3 linked regions of the Medicago truncatula genome follow. The protein of the gene in region 3 binds, or shares a complex with, the protein of the main gene of each other region. Links are inferred from orthologs where the notes say so. Each region holds a gene or a part of one and is shown on either strand. Other genes may lie near its edges.

Region 1 (6,458 bases), on a different chromosome or scaffold from region 3:
CAACATAAAAGTAACGAAAAATTGCTTGCACTCCAATCTCGAGAGGTTACTAAGACAGCTCACTGCATGTTGCTTAGAGAGACGATCGTTGAGTGGAGAGCAAGGAGAAGCTTTTCAACTTCAGAGAGTGCTTAGCAGTGGTAAAAGAAGCTAGTGCTATATCTCTATTGATCTTCTAACTCTGCTGTTCATATCACCCTTTTTGGTTTTGTAACAATGCCAAATGATCAAATTGATCTTCGGGTCTCATGCCGCGGAGTCCTCCCACCTATGTACATGTAGACTATCTTTTAAGGGGGTGGGTTTTGTATATGCATGTAAGTTTGTAACTTTTTAATAATCAAAACGATGGAAATTAGAAATTGAACTAGTCATGATTTCAATTTTAGCTGTAAAATATACAAGCTTCTGTTTCTGTTTTGTTGTGCTTCTGTATTCAATCTTAGCTATAAAAGAAAATTGGTCTCTTATATTCGTTTATTTACTGTTTGAAAAAATGTTTTTATATTAAAATAAAAACAATTTTTGAAGTAAAGTTGAAAACAGAAATCAAATAGGTCCTCAGGTGTTGTGAATTTTTTCCTTTACTTCTATAGCATCACATATACAAATTTACAGATATCAGTATTCTTTAAAGAAAACTACATAAGTGATACAACATATGGAAAAAATAATGATAAAAATATCAATAGTGATAGCTGAAACAGCTTGATCACTAAGCTTCATATTCTTTCCACCAAGACGATCAACCATGTCTGGAACAGGTTCATAATTCTTCAAAGCTACCTCATAAGGATCCTCTAATTTTATTTTCAATTTCTCTTGTTGGCGACTTGCAACCTCTTGAGCAAGTGTCCAATCATAGAATCTCCTACTTTCTTCATTGCTCAGAACAGTGTAAACTTCTTTTAATTTCATGAATTTTTCTGAGGCTGTTTTTAGAGGGAGTGAAGTTGTGTCTGGATGATACTCCTTTGATAGTTTCCTGAATGCCATTTTGATTGCTTCTACATCAGCTTCTGGTGATATTCCTAAGAATCTGCACAAATATTCCATTATTCAGTAACTATTGTCATTTAAATAAACAAGTTTCTCATGAAACCAAATCTCTGGCAACTCATAAGTTAGCAACTTATGCACAAGTTTTTATTTTTAAAAAGAAAAGAAATTATCATGTTCTTTAAAGAAAAACAGAATTGAATAATAGTATCTTGACTAAACTTGAGTTTAAATAAACTTCATTCTGGAAAATTCAGTTTACAATGCAACAAACCCTTAATTATTTTTCTCTTAACCCAAAACATGTATTGATTATGTCAAAATTAGTTGTTTTAGCCTTTTAGCGAACATTTGAACTCAAGTCGCATCCAAACTATTCAACTTTAGCTGAAACGCTTTAGTTACACTTAGTGTTCGTTTGGTTTGGCGGTGGTTTTTATAAAATCACGGTAAGTTTCCATGTTTCTACAAAACCTTGCTTTTGTAGCTTCAGGATTTTCACGTCTAGCTTGCCTCGGAACATGATATTTGTCTTGCAAAAGCTAATCCAAACACATACTTATACTAACTTCTAGTTTAAAATTGAATTTCAAGGCAAAATTTTGGTGTTTTATACTTTTTGTAGGAAACAGTTATAAAGAAACTCACTCATAATGAGAACCTTGAAAATTGAGCAAATCAGCAAAGTCTTCACCCAAAAGCTTCTTAGGTTTCTCCTCTGCATTTGTTTGTTGCTGTTTGGTGCTACCTCCAATCCAACCTTCATCATCATTCTCCCAATGGATTCTTGTGTCAATTCCAGGTGGTGCTTTTTGTGGTCCTTGAGAGTCCTTAGAAGCATGAACTTGGAAACTGTAGTGAGAGTTTGAGGTTCTTGCTATCCTAAAAATTCTTATTCTTCTTATTGTTTTGGTGTTTCCTAAGATTGGATTGAATAGTAGAATTTGTGGAGAAGGTGTTGCTGTTGAAGCCATGAGGGTGGAACAAAAGAAATAGTTATGGTTAGATTTTGGAATGCTCAGGTTCAATACATGCCCCATGTTCTGTTCTGTTATTTTGTGGTTCACAATAAATTTGGGACATGGAATTTGTAATATTAATTTTAATTAAATTAAAGACGAATTATTTAACTATATTCTAATATAATTATGTGAACATATATATTTTTTTTTATTATTTACAAGAATTATTTATCAAGTGAAAAAATTAAGTAATAACCTGTTTAAATATTGACAAGTTGGTCTATAAGATCATCTCCAATGGCAGGGTCATCAACATTTAAAACTCGGTACCTATTAGGTATCTTCATTAGGGAGAAACTTTTTTGGCGTCTTATAAGACCCGGGGTTTCACTTAAGACCCTCAATCTTAAGCAGGGCCCACACTCTTTTAATATTATAAAATTAAAATATAATGATATAAAATTATTAATAATTGATTAATGCGTCTCATTTAAGAAATTTGTGTGAGATGCTGGGTTGGTTGGAGGGATTGAATACTTATTAGGTACTACTATTAAAAAATTATACTCCATCCGTTTTTAAATATAAGCAAAATTTATTTTTTAGGTTCATTCATTTAATGATGTTTGTGGTCTATATTATGAACCACATACATCATTAAATAAATGGTTAATAGTGCTTTTCACCCCTGTAATATATGTCATTTCCAGTTTTCGCCCCTATAAAAATTTTGGTTTGATTTGCACCCTCGTAAAATTTTTATTTTTCGGAAAACACCCCTAATAGGTCATTTTCATAATTTTTTTTCAAGAAATTTTGGTTTTTGAATGGCCTATTAAGGGTGTTTTCCGAAAAATAAAATTTTTATGTGGGTGCAAATCAAACCGAAAATTTTATAGGGGCGAAAACTGGAAATGACATATATTACAGGGATGAAAAACATTATTGACCCTTAAATAAATGAATCTAGAAAGTCAATTTTGTTTATATTTAAAAACGAAGGGAGTAAATAAGTGATATGTACACGTGAGACTCATTTAAGTACCAAAAAATGGGTGCCTCCATTGTTGGTGCTCTAATATATACTTTTATTTTTGGTTGACATTGAGCCTGTTTGGATAAAGAACTTATTAATTTGCAACTTATAAGTAACAGCACAAGCACTTATCTTGATAAACTATTTTTATAGCAAAAGATAAAATAACTTTAGATCATTTTTGTATATACTATAAGTTATTTTTATAAGATTTATCGGAGAACTTATGAAAAACAAGTTAAAAATAGCTTATGAAAATTGTCATAACTCATAAGTTGTTGTCATGAATTCTCCCAAACAGTTTCAATATTGAACCCAAAATACAATGAAATATTAAAGACATAAAGCATGAAATATAAGCCTATAATCGTTTGTATTATTAATATTACAAGTTATTATAATTTCTTACTGCACATATATTATGTTAAACATTAAATTCTTGCCATTAACGGTAAGTATTAATTGAAAAAAATTAATATTAGATTTTTTAAGCAATAAATTAACGCAATTTCCGATAACATAATTTCTATTAAGGCACAAGTTAACATTTCCCTTATTGAAATTCAGAATTAATCTTTATATTAGGACATAATTATTGAAATTCAGAAGAGTAATCTTTGTTGGGTATGTGAATGGATATTCACATCACATCTGTCGGGTCACTGAGGGGAGTTGGAGGACCTTTCACATCGAGACTTGAACAACCACATAAGTGAGAGAGACACACACTCTTACCAAAAACCTCAAAGTTGTTGAATTCCCTCAAAACATTACATTCCCTTAAAACATTCCCCCATCCAAATACACTCTAAGGCAATGAATATATGGATCCTCTCACTTATAAAGTGTTCAACCTCCACTATTTTATCTGATGTAGAACATATAACTCACAATTGCACACAACAACAACATCCATGTTACAAATAAGTGTTCCATATGCTTTTTAAATTGTACATCCACACTTGATGCAAGGAAAACAATTTAAACCTATAGTTTTAAATTACTATAATTTTTTATCACACATATTACAACATAATTATTGAAATTGAGAGGAGTGATCTTTGTGTATGTGAACAGACATTCACATCACAACTATATTTCAAACAGCAGTACAAATAGGAGTACCATCTGCTTCATAAAGTATACATCCAATTGATGCAAGACAACAATTACATTTTGGGTAGAGGTGTTGACCACCTGTAGAAGGGCAAGTCATGTATGCAACTGTATCATAACAAAATTGTGGGCAAATTTTTTGTGCATCAACATTTTTCAAATTCCCTCCTGAAAAAATTGCACCTGGGATCATAAAAAGAAAGTCAGATTGGTATATATATAATTTGATCAAATAATTTTTATTTTCAGAAAAAAAGGAGACTCTAATTAGCATCCTCACCAAAGTTTAATTAGGTAATTTTCATCTTAGGTATGTATTTAAGTTAGACTCTTTGTCCACGATTTATAACTCAACCTATCTTGAGCTCCCGTTTGTTATATCAAACTTAATTACTTAAACCAAACAGTTGAGTTCAAGTGTTTAAGAGTTTCACCAAAGACGAATCATTCGGGAGAATCCGTTTTTGATTTCTGAACTGAACAATTGCTTTATTTTTTTGAAGGAGCCTTAATTACTTAATAATTAGACCTTTTTATTTTTCGAAAATACTTAGCTAAACATATCATTTTTTATGCCGAGCATTTTTTTTTACGTTTAATGCACCGGTTTCTAAAAATATATTCTAAATATAATATATTTTCTTTTGAACAAGTCAAACTGAAACTATGTAACAAACAAAGGCTCTCTCATATAATGTGAGATTTAAAGAGAGATAAAAGAGTTATGAGATAGATGGAGAGGAAAATGGAACAAGACGATCTAATTCAAAACTCGAGATAAGATGAATGCCCTAATTATGTTTAGGACACATGTTAGTTTCAATGTTAAGCTAAATTCAGTTCAATATCTTTCTATATCTATAAAAAAACAAAGTATAGCATAAATTGCAAAAACAACTACTTAAAAGAAGAAGCAAAATGAAAAAAAAAAACTTTATGTTGAAGGAAGAGAGATGGTGGGTTCAAGATTTACCACAAACGAGGACAAGAAGGATAGTCTCAACCTTTAAAGCCATATTTCTTTGCAAAACTGGTGAAACTTATGTCTCATATTTATAGCATAAAAAAATATTAACGTACATAATCACGCATAGATTATTGAACTAAATCAATAAGAATATTCGCATGGAGCAAAAGTCAGATAAATCGTAAGCATCAAGGGTAGGTTTAATGAGGAAGATGCGATCAATAATAAAACATAAGATAGGAGAAATGCCAACTAATGTGATCGGAGACACTCATTAGAAAAACCTATAAAATAGACTTAATTGTAGTTATGCTGAAATTGATTCTCTTATTTTATTTTAAAATCTTGCAGTTTTGTTCTCCTTCATATAGTCTTTGACTAAAAAAATAATGACATGACATATTTTAAATGATATGCGACTCAACATGGTGGTGATATGGAATGATAAGCACATAATTATTCTAAAAAGCCATATCTGATCTCAATTTAATATCTGTTGAATTCAAATTTGTTAACAATAAAATAAGATATTCAATCCTGTCTTTTTTTTTTTTCTCTTTCTTTTACAATAATTCAATCCTCTATTATACTTTATTATATCCATTCAATTAAGAGTTTTATTTAAAAGTCCGTAAAACTTAATTAACTCAACTTACAACGTCGAAATTGTTAGGTTGAATAATTCAATATTGTATGTGTGAAGTTGATCAAGTTGTGTTTGCCATTTTGTCCGCTAACCAAGACAAAAAATTTATCCTAAGAGGTAAGGTGTGGAGAGGAGTTGTTTGAAGGACGAAGGGAGGGACGTGTGTGCTTGGTGGAGGGAGATGGTACAAATTCGTAATGGTGTAGGTCTCACGATATGGGAGGTTGGTTTAGGACAATATTAGTCCGGAGATTGGGAATGGAGATAATACATTTTTTTTTGGATGGATCAGTGGTTTGGGTGATTTATCGTAATGAGATCGATTTCATAGATTGTTTGAGTTGTCTAAGCACAAGTGGTTGTCGGTTGCAGATATGTTTTCGATAGGCTGGGGTGAGGGTGGTGATGCGTGGAAGTGGAGATGTCGGTTGTTGGTGTAGGAAGGAGGAGCTCGTAGGGAGTGTAGGATTTTACTTCAAACCGTAACTTTGCAGGTTGAACATGATGATCAATGGCTTTGGAAGTTGGATCTAGCTGTTGGTTATTCAGTTAGTGGTGAGTATCAGTTTTTTACTAGCTACGCTCCTGGTCCAACTTCATCAGTTCTGAATCTCTTTTGCCATAAACATGTCCCCTTGAAGGTGTTGGTGTTTGCGTAGTGGCTCTTACGCAATAGACTGACAACTAAAGATAATTTAATTCAGCGTGGTATTATTCATAATGACTCTCGGC
Region 2 (7,383 bases), on a different chromosome or scaffold from region 3:
AATTTGGTCATTATCAAAAAGTGTTTTCTTGGTCCCCAAGTTTTGCTAAATTATTTTAGAACGCAATCTAGAATATTTTGGAACACAATCTAAAATATTTTGGTAGAAAATCTAATATATTTTAGTGCTTGATCTGAAATATATTTTGATACTCAATAATATATATTTATGTACTGAATAACATATTTATGTACTGAATAATATATTTTTGTACTCAATATGATATATTTTGGTAGACAATCTAATATATTTTAGTGCTTGATCTGAAATATATTTTGATACTCAATAATATATATTTATGTACTAAATAACATATTTATGTACTGAATAATATATTTTTGTACTCAATATATTTTGGTAGACAATTGGCATATTTTTGTACTAGATGAATTACTTGTTCCCAAAGTTTCTCACCTATTAGTTGTGAAGTTTCTCTATAAATAGAGGGCTCATACAATGCATTCAACACACCGAAAACACAGTTGATGATTCCTGTGTTTTTCCTCTCTTCTCCCTTCTTCGACTTGTCTTGACGAGTCTTTCTTCTTTTTCTACTCCTTTCTGTCCTTTTCGGTTTCAAGGTATTTATTTTTTATTTTATTTTGCTCTTAAGTTATAAAAAATGAAAAAAAAATTAGATTATGTTAAGAGATTTTGTGGTGATCCAACCTCACTACAAAATTCTCATGCTTTAGCTTTAGGTTTTATTTATCATTCAAAATAACAAAAACATCCAAATAACAAAAACCACCAAAAATATTTTTTTACAATAAATCTTGATCTTAAATCAAGTGACCGTCTTTTTATTTTATTTTTTTAATCAAATTTCAATCAACTTAATTCTACTTCAAGTCCATTTTCTTTTAAATTAAAAAACACAAACAGATTCTTATTTGCCACTTGACTTTTCATTTTAAAACCTTTTTCAAAACTAATAAAAAAACACAAAACCGATCAAACGTCAATTTCTACCCCGAACTACGAGGTTTTAATCCCTCATGGGTACGTAGGCAGAGGACCATGTCCTTCCAAATCAAATAAAAATAACCAAAAACATATTTCTTCTCCCTCCATTCTTTCACTTAGATTTTTAGGTAATAATTTTTCAAATAAGCAAATGAATTTAGCACAAGATAATCTAGGTAAGAGGTTCCTATGGAATATCATAGACGCTTAGGGTGCTAGCACCTTCCCTTTGCGTAACCAACCCCCGAATCCAGGTCTTAAAGGTTTTTACTCATTTTTTCCCTCCCACGAATAAAAATCGAGAGTTCAAAGATTGAAGGTTCAAAACCAATCAATGGCTTGATACCCGAAAATCACGAGCACAGATAGCATTCTATTATATAGCATGTCTTTTAAAATGATCGAAATAAATCTACATAAAAATATGCACAGATTTTGTAGAACCGAATCTGATGGCGTTTTTCTTGTTGGTCTTTTTGAATGATGATATTATATTGATCATTTCCTCTTGGATTTTTGTTTTTGGTGGAAGATGATCCTCTTGACTTGGTCATCAAGAAACCTCTCAAGTCGGACTAGTTTAGCATTATTAATTAATCATCTTGTGCCATATGGTCAGGTCACAGTGCATATCATGAAAACATGCCTCCAAAATGCATGTCCAATGCTATAATTTATTTTCAATCATTATTAAATTTAGGTTAGATTAGACAAGAATGAACAAATTCATTTTTTTTTTTACCTTTCTCTTTCAGCTTATTAAAATTAAAATACTATCAGTAACCAACATTTATCCATTTTGGCACTATAATGTAATGAACAAATATTGGTAATCACTTCTAGGCAATAAAAATATTGAATACTCCCTAAAGATTCTACTGCAGTATTATTGATCCCTCAATAATATGTAGAGGGACCAGAATACATGAAATAAAGAAGAAGAAAAAATAATAAAAATTCTAGAAGTCACTATTTGAAAGGGGTTCATGAACGTGATCAGCAATGAAGATATTATTATAGAGAATGGCAGCAGTAGCTGAACCAATGAATGGGCCAACCCAATAGACCCAATGATGAGTCCATGTTCCACTAACAACAGCAGGCCCGAAAGACACAGCTGGGTTCATTGATGCACCATCAAAAACACCACCAACCAAGATATTTGCACCCACAATACAACCAATTGCTAATGGTGCTACAACACCAACATTCCCTCTCTTTGGGTCTATTGCTGTTGCATAAACTGTATATACTAATCCAAATGTCATCACAATCTCAAAAACTAATGCATTCCACACAGACACACCAGAGGATAGAGCAAAACCTGATGTTTCCTGCATATATATATATATATATATATATAAAATCTAAATGTAGCACTGATATCTCAAATTCAACTAGTGTTCAATTTCTGTTTTATAGTTAAAATCCACTTTTGATCTTCTAATTATTATTGAATTAAGATTTTAGTCCACTCGTTCTAAATCTCAAAATTTAGTTCACTTCACAAGTTTTTGAATTTTTCTCAACTACCTGATTTTGAGCTTAATTTTTCTTATATGTCATCTTTCATTAACGACATGGAAATACATTTCATGATATGGTGATGGTGATTTAAATTAAATCTTAATATGTTATTATCCAATTCAACATTGCCACGTCATCAAATGTATTAACAAGAGAACACATCAACAAAATTAAACTAAAAAGTGCATTTGAGCCTATATTTTAAATTAGGTGAAGGAAATGCATGTGTAGTAGATTCATTTAGTTACCATTCCAGCAGTGCATGAATTGAGAAGAATGCAAGCAACAACTGCACCAAGTAACTGTGCAATCCAATACAAAATACTTCTCAAGAAGGTAATGTTTCCTCCAATGAAAGCACCAAATGTGACTGCAGGGTTCACATGTCCACCAGAAATGTTTGCACCAACAGAAACAGCCACAAATAACCCAAATGCATGAGATAATGATGCAACTATGAGACCTTCAGGAGTGGCAGCTCCATTGTTTGTAAGTTTATCTGCCACAATAGCCAACAAGCTATATATCTTCAAATTCTCAACAATTCTAAGGCATTGAAAAATAATTATCTTCTAATGTCACAAAATAAGTTTCTAAAACACTTATTGCTTACAATAAACTAACTAATAATTCGTTTTCAACGCTCTATCTTTTTATTGAGTGAAATTATCGTACATCTCACCACTTCATTTAAGATCTATTTCTAATATCAATCAATAATTGAACGAGTATAAAAAAGATAATGTTAAAAAATGTATATGTAATAATATGTAATACTCTTCAAAAAGTTATCTATATTACTCACTATAGGCCATGCCAGAGCCTTGGCCAGCAAAAACAAAAATGAGCATAGAGAAGAACTCTGCAAAGGCTGCTCTAATTGCAGCAGGATTGCTAGCCTCTCTAGGAGACCCAATTGCTATTCTGTAGATTGCCATTAATTAATTAAATCAACCTTAACATACAGAAACAGAAGAAATGTGTTTTTGTTAATTTTATTAATTTTTCTAAGAGTGAAAATAAAGTGTGAGAGCTAATCATTTGGTGTTTAAACAACAAAGGTAAGTATTAACGGCTAAAGAAACGGTCTCATTCAATTGTTTAAGGGTAAAGACCATGTAGAATCAGTTTATACAGCCTAAGAGTTTGTCACATGATTACTATTTTTGGCTCTTGTTTTGTGGCTGTGATGTAACTGCATGGTAAGATCAAAGGGTTGAGAATTTAGATAGTTAACTTCATGTATTCACCATTGCAACAATTTATCTTTATAAATTGACCGGCCATGATGTCATTGAAATCAACAATGAAACTTGACAAATAATTGACACAAATTGCACAAATTCATTTAGTTCACAAATTTTGGTATCCTCCTTACCCAACTACATAGTAATAGTATATTCCCTTCCTTCCAAGTTGTTTCTCACAAATACTAAGTGCACAATATTTACTAATGGATTTTGGAGGATTTTTCTTTGCAAAATTCGTTCGGTGCAGGCAACTCCAAAGGTCTAGTTCAGTGGTAAAAAGACAGACCCTCTTGGATTCGAGTCTCATTAATACTTTTGCAGAGAGGTAAATATACATACCTTTGAACCCGTCACTTTAAATTTCTCGACCACTAAAAAAAAATCACTCGGTGAAAAAAACTCCCTTCCTTCCAACTCTATAACCAGAAACTTTGGAATGAAAAATAATTAGAAAAATATTATTATTTTTTAAAAAATAATAAAAAATAATAATATCAAATTTTAAGTTTTTTTTTAACATATAGTTTCTGAAAAACTCAAAAAAATCTGATAAAGAAACACAAATATTTTTTGTTTTTCTGAAATATTTTTTAACAAATAACTAATACAATCTGGAAATTTAAAATTTGAATTTTATAAGTATAAATACATAAAAAAAAAAAATTAAGAACAAAATGTGGATATTATATGTTTTGTGCGTATAGAAGATCCAGCTGAGGGGGTATAGGAAAGATTTTTCAAATAATTAAGATAAAATAATAGTTGAGAAGAGACATTATCCAATTAAATGAAAAAAAAAAAAAAAAATAACAAGTTTCATTCTTGTCACATGACCACAAACTCCTAGCCACATCACAAGGTCTAAATTCTACTTACTATCCACTCAGTATTTCTTTCCATCTCAAAACTGAAGCTCTATACCACTCTTCTTCACCACTATGGTAGTTTCTTCTTGCTCTTTAACCTGGACTTCATCCTACTTATCCCATAAGGTGTGTTCATGATATATTTTGTTTTCTTCATTGCATTCACACTATGTTCTTTATACATAAACAGCTCATGTGAACTGTTTCAGCTAAACTTGCCACATTCAAATCATTTGCTTCGGAATACTACAACTTCATCTTCTAACAATGTCTCTTGTGCAATGGAAACAACTTCCAGTACAGAAAGTAAGAGCTTAATCTGTGCTTAAAATAACTACTATCAAGTTTACATTGACTTTACAATGAGCATGTCAGTGTTTGTGCTAATCAAGAATCAACACTTATCAGAAGTAATCTACCTTTATCAAAGCTTGATCTGAGTTTTCTTTTTATTTATTATTAGGACACTGCCAGAGAAGACCACTTCTGTTGGGTATAGGAGCATTAACAGCAAATTTGCTACCAGCAAATTCACTCTTAGCTGAAGGTATTCATAATAACATCTTTGTTTGGATATGTAAAGAGGAGTCACAATCTTCTGAAATTTTGAAATTCAATTAGTCCTTATTTTGTAGAAATACCAGACAGATACCGATCTTTTGTCGACTATGAAGATGGATATTCTTACATTTATCCCTCAGATTGGAAGGTAAAATTCATCATATTGGTTCACAAAATGTTATTCCGTTGTTTTCATATTAACTATCACATTTGAAATATTTGTCCACCTCATCATCTCTCATTTTAAAATATCAATGAAGCATTGATTAAGTTTTTTCACAAATATACATTTATTTATTGTATCTCAGCTTAGTTATATATTCGCGTAACTATATTAATAAGGGTGCTTCAGTATATTGCGTTGATTTTATCACATGAATTAGTACACTCAATGATCTTTGTAAGTGTTTGTGTAATGTTGATCAAAACTTAAGATAAGACAGAGGAATTAGTTTCAACAACCAAATAATTTTCTACAAGTTTGTCACTTGTCTGGGTGATCTTTTCCCTAGGAATTTGACTTCAGGGCACACGATTCTGCATTCAAAGACAGATATTTACAGTTACAAAATGTAAGGGTGAGATTCATACCAACTGAGAAGAAAGATATCAGAGATTTGGGTCCAATGGAAGAGGTGATTATGATTTAGATTCTGTCTTAATGTTATGGAGTCTAATTTATAGTTATACACTTAGCCAGTTTGCGTCTTAATCAGGTTATAACTGATTTGGTGAAACATAGATATACTGCACCAAACCAAAGACCAACAATATATGACATGCAAGAGGTTTCTCATTTCATTTCTTCTCCAATTTGTTTTTTTCAAAAGAATATTGTAGGTTTTGATGGCCAATGCATATTGACAAACAATCATTTCTGAATTCTGAATGCAGCGGACGATAGATGGAAAACATTATTATACAATGGAATATGTACTTACATCACGAAATTACGCTAGTGCCTCCTTTACAACACTTGCCATAGGAAATGGTAAGTAGTCTACCATCTCAAATCTCAGTGTGATATCCAATAAATGTTCTCTCAAAGAAAAGCTAACTCAATATATACTTCTCTGTCCTGTTAGATAATACAACAAGAATCTTCATATAGAAAAATGATTATAAGTGACACAGGTAGAAAATTAACAAAGAATGTGCAACCCAGATAGAGAGACAACATTGAGAAGACTAATTATTCAAATGAAGCCAATTTCTTCGAAATTACACGACTTCAGTGTCATAAAAACAGATTATACTGTTAATATACAGAAGTTCAACTGCATGAGTTTTCAATGCAATCAAAGGCTCCTTATGTAAACTAATAAGTAATAACATTCATTCTGTACAGGAAGATACTACACATTAATTGTGGGAGCCAATGAAAGACGATGGAAAAAAGTACGAGATCAGCTTAAAGTGGTAGCAGACTCCTTTAGGCTCCTTGACATCTGAAATGTTACATGACAATGCAAGACATGTTCCAATTTTTCCTTACACGTCAAGATTGAAATATATGTAAATTTTTGCAAGTGAATGATATCATCTTCATCTATATCATACAAATACAAAAGCTCAGTTTCTGTATTGCATACAGAGGCCATCCACTTTGACACATACATTGCATGTGAATATGATAAACTTTATAAATCACTGAGAATTACAGAAGGATGTAGGTTGCCATCAAAAAGTTTTTAGTTTATAAAAAAACGCTATAAAATCATGAGAAATTTTTTGTGCCAAACAGATCTATTTTAAAGAAATGAACTTATACCCTATTTAAGATATCTGATATATGCTCATGAATAGGCCTTGCCAAACAGATTATATAACAAGGCACTAAACTGTCTCACTCACTGCTACCTTCAAAGTCACATAACCATCACCACTTAAGAGGTGAAGAAAATTGTAATGAATATAATTTTTTTTCCTTTCTTTCTTGATGATACTAATCCAATTTCAATTGTGAAAGCCAAGACGACCAAGACACCAAATCCAAACAGACACAAAATACATGGAAGTTAAGGGCAATATAACTAACAAGTACTATACCACATGCTATCATTGGTTTTATACCTCATTTCACCTGAAAGATAGTTGTGGCCATGAGGGTAATGAATAGATAGAAAACTTGAGATGACAATTGCAGTAATAGTAATATAAAATGGAAAGAGATTAATCATAGTCCTTCATTTGATAACATGAAAGTTATACTC
Region 3 (6,109 bases):
GCAGCGTCTTACAGTGTCTCAGGGTGTGGTCAGATTGAAACGGTTGACCACCTTTTCCTTACATGCTCGACTTTTGGATTGTTATGGCAGCTTGTTCGTGTTTGGATTGGCGTTGTGGGGGTCGATACTAAAAATATTTCCGACCATTTGTTGCAATTTACTTATATGTTAGGTGTTTGTAAAGCTAAACGTTCGTTCTTGGAGCTAATTTGGCTCATGTGTTCTTGTGTTGTCTGGAACGAACGAAACAACCGACTGTTTAATAATATTGTAACCTTAGTCCCTTGTATGTTAGATAAAGTTAAATTGTTATCTTTGGGATGGCTGAAAGCCAAAAATGTCATGTTTGTATTTGGCCAGAGATGGTGGTCAAGTTGTTTAGCTTGTTTGAGCATTGGCTAACACCGATGGTGTTCTCGTGTAGTTGTTAACATTCCTTGTTGTACTTTAGGAGGTTCTAGACACACCTTATGCTTGGAAGCTACTATTTGGTTTGGTTATATTTAATTCTCTCTTGACTTGTTAAAAAAAAAAAACCTTTGTTCAATTTATGTTTTTAATTCTTACAAAATTACAAGCTTTCAAATTGAGTTATTACAAAAAATTATTCATTTTAATTTCTATTTTTATTTATAGGGACTATTTTAAAGAACTAAAAATATAAAATATTTTCAAAATAAAAACTATTCTTACAAACTATAATATTTTGAAGTTCACGTGAACTTAACTGAATTGATATGAACAATGCATTATATATGTAAGGTTCGGGAATCGAACTCCGACCACCACAAAAAAAAAAAACTATAATATTTTAAAGAATTAAAATCACCATTAAAATTTTATAAACATTAAATTTGAAAACTCATGATTTTGTAGAGACTAAAAACACGATTAAAAAGAAAATGTACCCACAAACATAGGCCTAATCCTACGAAAATGTAAAAAAAAATAATAAAAGAATTCAGACACAAAACATTGACCATTACAATTACTACAACGTGAAAGCAATCAAAAGTAAACAAAAAAGAAACAAGAAGAGAAGTGATGAGTAAGAAGAAGATATTGATTGTGGGAGGCACAGGTTACTTGGGTCAGCATCTATTACAATCTTATTATTCTAATCAATCTCTGACAGTGGCATTCACCTATCACTCTTCTCCTCTTCTTCAACCTTTGTTGGATGCATTTCCTGATTCTCAATCTTTCCAAGTCGATTTGAAATCTGGCATTGGATTTGATGCCATTTCCAATGCTTTTGGCCAGGTTCTTTTCTCACTTTTCTAACTTACAATTCAATTGGGTCGTGACAAAACATGATTTTTATTAATGGGCTTGATCTGATTCATTGCAAATTGTAATATGACTTACTGATTTATACGGATTAGTTTGTTTAGTTTATCTACCAGTTTATGATATGTGCAGAAGTTGTTTTCAACTTATTTTCATAAGCTTGAACCAGGATAACTTATGAAAACAGCTTATAGCTTATATGAAAATATATTTCTTTTTTATATAAATATTTTATACAAAATCACTTTTGTGATAAGAGATTATACTATAAGCACCTACTTAAACTGTTTATCCAAACATGTTAGTGTATGTAAGATTGAATTGAAGTCGTATATGCTATGTTTGAGATAACAATTTAGTCTAAATTTACCAAAAGTACTTTTACAAGTTGGAAAATCAATGCAGTTTACTTTTTAAAAATATTTTTTATTTTTCATAAATTTGTGTTAGTTTTACTTTTTTTTTAACAAAAAAACAAAATTCGCCCACCGTGGGGCTCGAACCCACGACCACAAGGTTAAGAGCCTTGCGCTCTACCAACTGAGCTAGACGGGCTTGGTTGTTTTTGTTTCACTTGTTAATAAAGAGAAAGGAGAATGTTTGAACATGTATTCTTACTTCCAAAAATGCATATCACCCTAGCTACTTTTTTTTATTTTTTTTTATATCATCTCTTCATTACATTGACTAACTTCAAAATCAAAAGTTTCTCATCTTCTTATTAGTAAGTTAAAGTGAACATGTCTTCTTATTTGCTAGTTAAAAATGAACACATTTTATCTTCCATTCACCCTAAACATGCACTTCCTCCATTAGCAGCCCTTACTTTCATTCATACTTGAAGTTGAATTTAATTAAAAAAGGGTTTTTCTATCATCTGCAAACTTGCACATGTTAAGAAATTTAAAGTAGTAAGTTTGTATTGGAACTTGAACATTTTATATTAAATATATAACTTTTTAATAAATACTTGTGGTTTTTCAATAAAAAGTTGCTACTTTTAGTTTCTTTAACATGTGCAATGTTGCACATGTTAGACAAACCCATTAAAAAAATATAAATCTAACGCTACATGCTTTTGAAGTTTCAGAGTTCGTGTTTATATAAGAAAAAGGCTGTTATCTCCTTTACCTCTCAATTTGATAGTCACTCATTATTCTTGCTATACCAGTATGAAAATGGATTTGTGTGCTACGCAAACGCATGTATCTCGCAGAAATAAAGAGATAAAGCATGTTTGGTTTGGTCTTTTATGTAACAAATTTTCAAACATCTATAAGTTGGATAGATGCCAGTTGCTTACAAATAAGAGTTTAAGCTTTTAATATTGGATTGACAATTCTCTGTTTGTTTGTTAATGGCAGCCTGATGTGGTTGTCAATTGTGCTGCCATCTCGGTGCCTCGTGCTTGTGAAAATGATCCTGATACTGCAAATGCTATTAATGTGCCGTCATCCCTCGTAAAATGGTTGCAAAGCTTTAAACAGAACAGTACTCTTCTCATTCATCTCTCCACAGATCAAGGTAAACCAATCTAATCGCAATCAATACATTGCATTGCTATCTATAACCATGCTCATTTTCACTTTGATAGCTAAACTGCAATTTATGTTTCTTCTCATTAGTTTACGAAGGTGAGAAGTCCTTTTACAAGGAAGAAGACATTCCTATTCCAGTAAATGTTTATGGAAAAACTAAAGTGGCAGCAGAGAAGTTCATTTCAGAAAACTTCCCAAACTTTGCGATTTTGAGAAGCAGTATCATCTATGGGCCACAAACTGTCTCACCAGTTCCAAAATCTCTTCCTATTCAGGTGCATGTGCAGTATATAGAATTATACTTTATTTGAAAACTAATGCTTCCAGCATTAGGATCGATGAAACTTGAAATGTGAATGATGCTTGCAAATTCTGTTACTTATTGCATGATGAATTCTTAAAAGACGGTGGTAGTGTTTGGCTCACCATTTTTCCGTCTGCAATAAAAAAAATAACTGAGAAAATCTCTTATTATTGCAGTGGATTGACAGTGCCCTTTCTAAAAGAGAAAAGGTGAATTTCTTTCACGACGAGTTCCGTTGTCCAATTTTCGTTAAGGATCTCGTAACTATCATACTAGCTTTAACAAGCCAGTGGTTATCAGGTACAGAACTTTTTGTAAATAACTCGTGTATATTGTTTAAACATGTGGTACGCTGCAAAAAGAGATTCTTAATGAAACTGATTTTCAGTTAGATCTTTTTTAAGGTTTCAAAACACTTTTATTGGAGATGGTCAATCCTTATCTATGAAAATTGTTTATATCTTATAACTCTTTTACAATTATGTACGACATTTTCACTTTCATGTGTTCTTTAAACTTGAGGGGTCTCAAATTCGCTTTCATGATTTGATTTCTGATTCTTGTCACAGAGGGAAAGCAAATGCAGTTGTTACTTAATGCCGGTGGACCTGATAGGGTATCGCGCGTTGAAATGGCTGACGCTGTTGCACAATTCAGAGGGTATGATACCTCATTAATCAAAGCAGTCTCTGCTTCAACGGTATGTGTTATGCTTCATTTATAACTAAAATTTTGTGATGTGGAATTCAAAGCTTTTCATTTATCTTTTGATGTCAATTTGATCAGTTTGGTAACATGATATGATTTATCTGCTCGTCTTTGATTGTTCTTTATTGCGACATTTTTGAGTTTTCGTTATTGTTTTTCCAGGTTGACCGAGGTGTGAAGTCCCCGGCTGACATATCTATGGATATCACTAGATTGGTTCAAACTCTAAATATTAATCCTGTTTCATTTAAAGACGGTGTTAAATTAACGCTTACAACTGAAGCTCAACAGTGAGGCAGAAACAAACTTGTCGTATAAGGCTTCCTTGTTTATTTGAGTATCGTTGTTCACCATTAAAAATGACATGTGCTCTCAATAGTTGTTACTGCATTTAGATTGCTGTAAAATAAATCTATGTAAATTCTTGAAAATACCAAGAATGGAAATAGTGGGTCATCATTGTAACACACTCTTTCCATCATGTGTCATTATCATGGGAATTATGTCATACTTTTCATTAGGCTTGAAAATATGTTGCCTTGGCTTTTCACTGCTATAATTTCTCATGATAAATTGTGTGTTTGGATTACTTTAATTTGATGCTAAAATGAATTTAATCATAAGGTTATGTTGCAAAAAAATTCTTTCCTCATATAGGCAAATTTGGTCCAAAGAATATACTTTGTGGTCAAGATTAAATTGGAAGAAGATTTTCTGATAGTTTTTCATTTCATAAAAAGATAGGCCTATCCAATAATTTTGTGGCCAGGATTAGATTCTGAAACTATGCTATCCATCCCTCTTTCTCCTCTCTCTAATGTTGTTTTCAGCCAATTTTCTGAACAGTTAATTAAAAATGTCTTCCTTTGTTGCTCTTCATAGCCTTCATGGCTCTCTTCTTAGATCCAAATTCTTAGGCCAAGAGAACCTCACTCATCTTTATCCTCACAGCAATAAAGCTTCCATCTTTCACAGCAAACCGACCTTCAAAACAGTACAAACATGTGCCAAATTCGACTTGCTGCAGATCATGGGAGGCAGAGGTCTCTGCAAAGGAGAAGAAGGTCTTCAAAAAGAGCTTAAAAGAGAAGTTGGTCTTGATGATCAGAATCAGCCAACATCATCAGAAGCAAGTGACAAAGAACAAGAAGACTCAACAAGTAACTCAACAAAATCCTTTGAAAGTGTTGCAGAAGACGGGTTTGATAAAGAGTTAATGGGGTTAACCGGAGGATTTCCTGGAGGTGAAAAAGGTTTGAAAAAATTCATTGAAGAGAACCCTCTTCCTAAAACTGTTAAAGGAAACAAAAGCCTTAAACTTTCTTCATCGGAGAAGCCAAAACCACCGGAACTTCCTATGTTACTTCCAGGAATGATTGCTATTGTGAAGAATCAAAATAATCCTTTTTACATGTACTGTGGTATTGTTCAAAGAATCACTGATGGTAAAGCAGGAGTACTGTTTGAAGGAGGGAATTGGGATAAGTTGATCACCTTTAGGCTTGAGGAACTTGAGAGAAGAGAAAAAGGTCCTCCTATGAAGAATCCTAAGTCTTGCGTTCTTGAACCATTTCTTGTAAAGAAATCATAGTTTTCAGCTCTTTGTTGTTATTGTGTAACAAAACATGTTCACTTTTGTATCATACTACATGTTTCTGACAATTGAATCTTAGTTGTGTATTTCATTTGCTGCTTTGATCTTTTATTTAGAAGTAAAAAAAGTTTAAGGTAAAAAGATATGAAGCACACATGTAGTAGACACTACGTTGACACAGACATGTTAAAGTAGTAATAATAATTTGAAAAATAAAAGTAATTAAATGTAACTACATATGTTAGTGTCGGACACTGGACACCTTTGATGTGACGTTGGTGCTAAAAGAGTATTTCATTGTGCTGAACCTTTCTTAATACTCTTTAATTTTGGTACATGTTCATGTAAAGAATGGATGGAGTATTAACAACTTACGGTTTCTGTTAAGAACAAAATCAGTTTATGTGCTACTTTCAAAGTTATTGCAATAAAGTCAAATATTGTAATGATATGATAATTTTGAATGATTATCGATATTGTTATTGTTTAATTTTATATAAGATTGATGATTTCAGGATTAAATTATTGAAAAAATATATTTTAGGATTAAACCTTAGACGAAATTTAATGATTCACTTATTAGAAATAAACATATTCTCTTGACCAAAAAAAAAAAAAAAAGAAATAAACATATTCAACGTTAATCAGTTGGATCATGATATTGGATTAAACAAT

What was found. The genes of interacting proteins can lie anywhere in the genome.
Region 1: NAD(P)H-quinone oxidoreductase subunit S, chloroplastic (region 3) and NAD(P)H-quinone oxidoreductase subunit T, chloroplastic share a complex: the UniProt entries of both Arabidopsis thaliana proteins name them as parts of the chloroplast NDH complex. The link is inferred for Medicago truncatula from reciprocal best matches to the Arabidopsis thaliana genes NdhS and NdhT.
Region 2: NAD(P)H-quinone oxidoreductase subunit S, chloroplastic (region 3) and photosynthetic NDH subunit of lumenal location 1, chloroplastic share a complex: the UniProt entries of both Arabidopsis thaliana proteins name them as parts of the chloroplast NDH complex. The link is inferred for Medicago truncatula from reciprocal best matches to the Arabidopsis thaliana genes NdhS and PnsL1.

The regions. Positions count from the first base shown.
Region 1 is NC_053045.1:11,829,687-11,836,144, forward strand, and holds NAD(P)H-quinone oxidoreductase subunit T, chloroplastic, read right to left. Parts: upstream 2,053-6,458; 5' UTR 2,040-2,052; coding exon 1,648-2,039; intron 1,040-1,647; coding exon 622-1,039; 3' UTR 567-621; downstream 1-566. Other genes in the region: ran-binding protein M homolog, read left to right, coding at 1-154. UniProt on the Arabidopsis thaliana protein: NDH shuttles electrons from NAD(P)H:plastoquinone, via FMN and iron-sulfur (Fe-S) centers, to quinones in the photosynthetic chain and possibly in a chloroplast respiratory chain.
Region 2 is NC_053042.1:55,806,951-55,814,333, forward strand, and holds photosynthetic NDH subunit of lumenal location 1, chloroplastic, read left to right. Parts: upstream 1-4,553; 5' UTR 4,554-4,681; coding exon 4,682-4,735; intron 4,736-4,818; coding exon 4,819-4,915; intron 4,916-5,072; coding exon 5,073-5,156; intron 5,157-5,244; coding exon 5,245-5,318; intron 5,319-5,682; coding exon 5,683-5,805; intron 5,806-5,886; coding exon 5,887-5,958; intron 5,959-6,064; coding exon 6,065-6,161; intron 6,162-6,518; coding exon 6,519-6,622; 3' UTR 6,623-6,817; downstream 6,818-7,383. Other genes in the region: aquaporin TIP1-3, read right to left, coding at 1,926-2,300, 2,742-2,992, 3,299-3,431. UniProt on the Arabidopsis thaliana protein: NDH shuttles electrons from NAD(P)H:plastoquinone, via FMN and iron-sulfur (Fe-S) centers, to quinones in the photosynthetic chain and possibly in a chloroplast respiratory chain.
Region 3 is NC_053049.1:12,186,480-12,192,588, reverse strand, and holds NAD(P)H-quinone oxidoreductase subunit S, chloroplastic, read left to right. Parts: upstream 1-4,449; 5' UTR 4,450-4,696; coding exon 4,697-5,431; 3' UTR 5,432-5,525; downstream 5,526-6,109. Other genes in the region: methionine adenosyltransferase 2 subunit beta, read left to right, coding at 1,045-1,263, 2,655-2,814, 2,916-3,103, 3,309-3,432, 3,702-3,832, 4,003-4,134. UniProt on the Arabidopsis thaliana protein: NDH shuttles electrons from NAD(P)H:plastoquinone, via FMN and iron-sulfur (Fe-S) centers, to quinones in the photosynthetic chain and possibly in a chloroplast respiratory chain.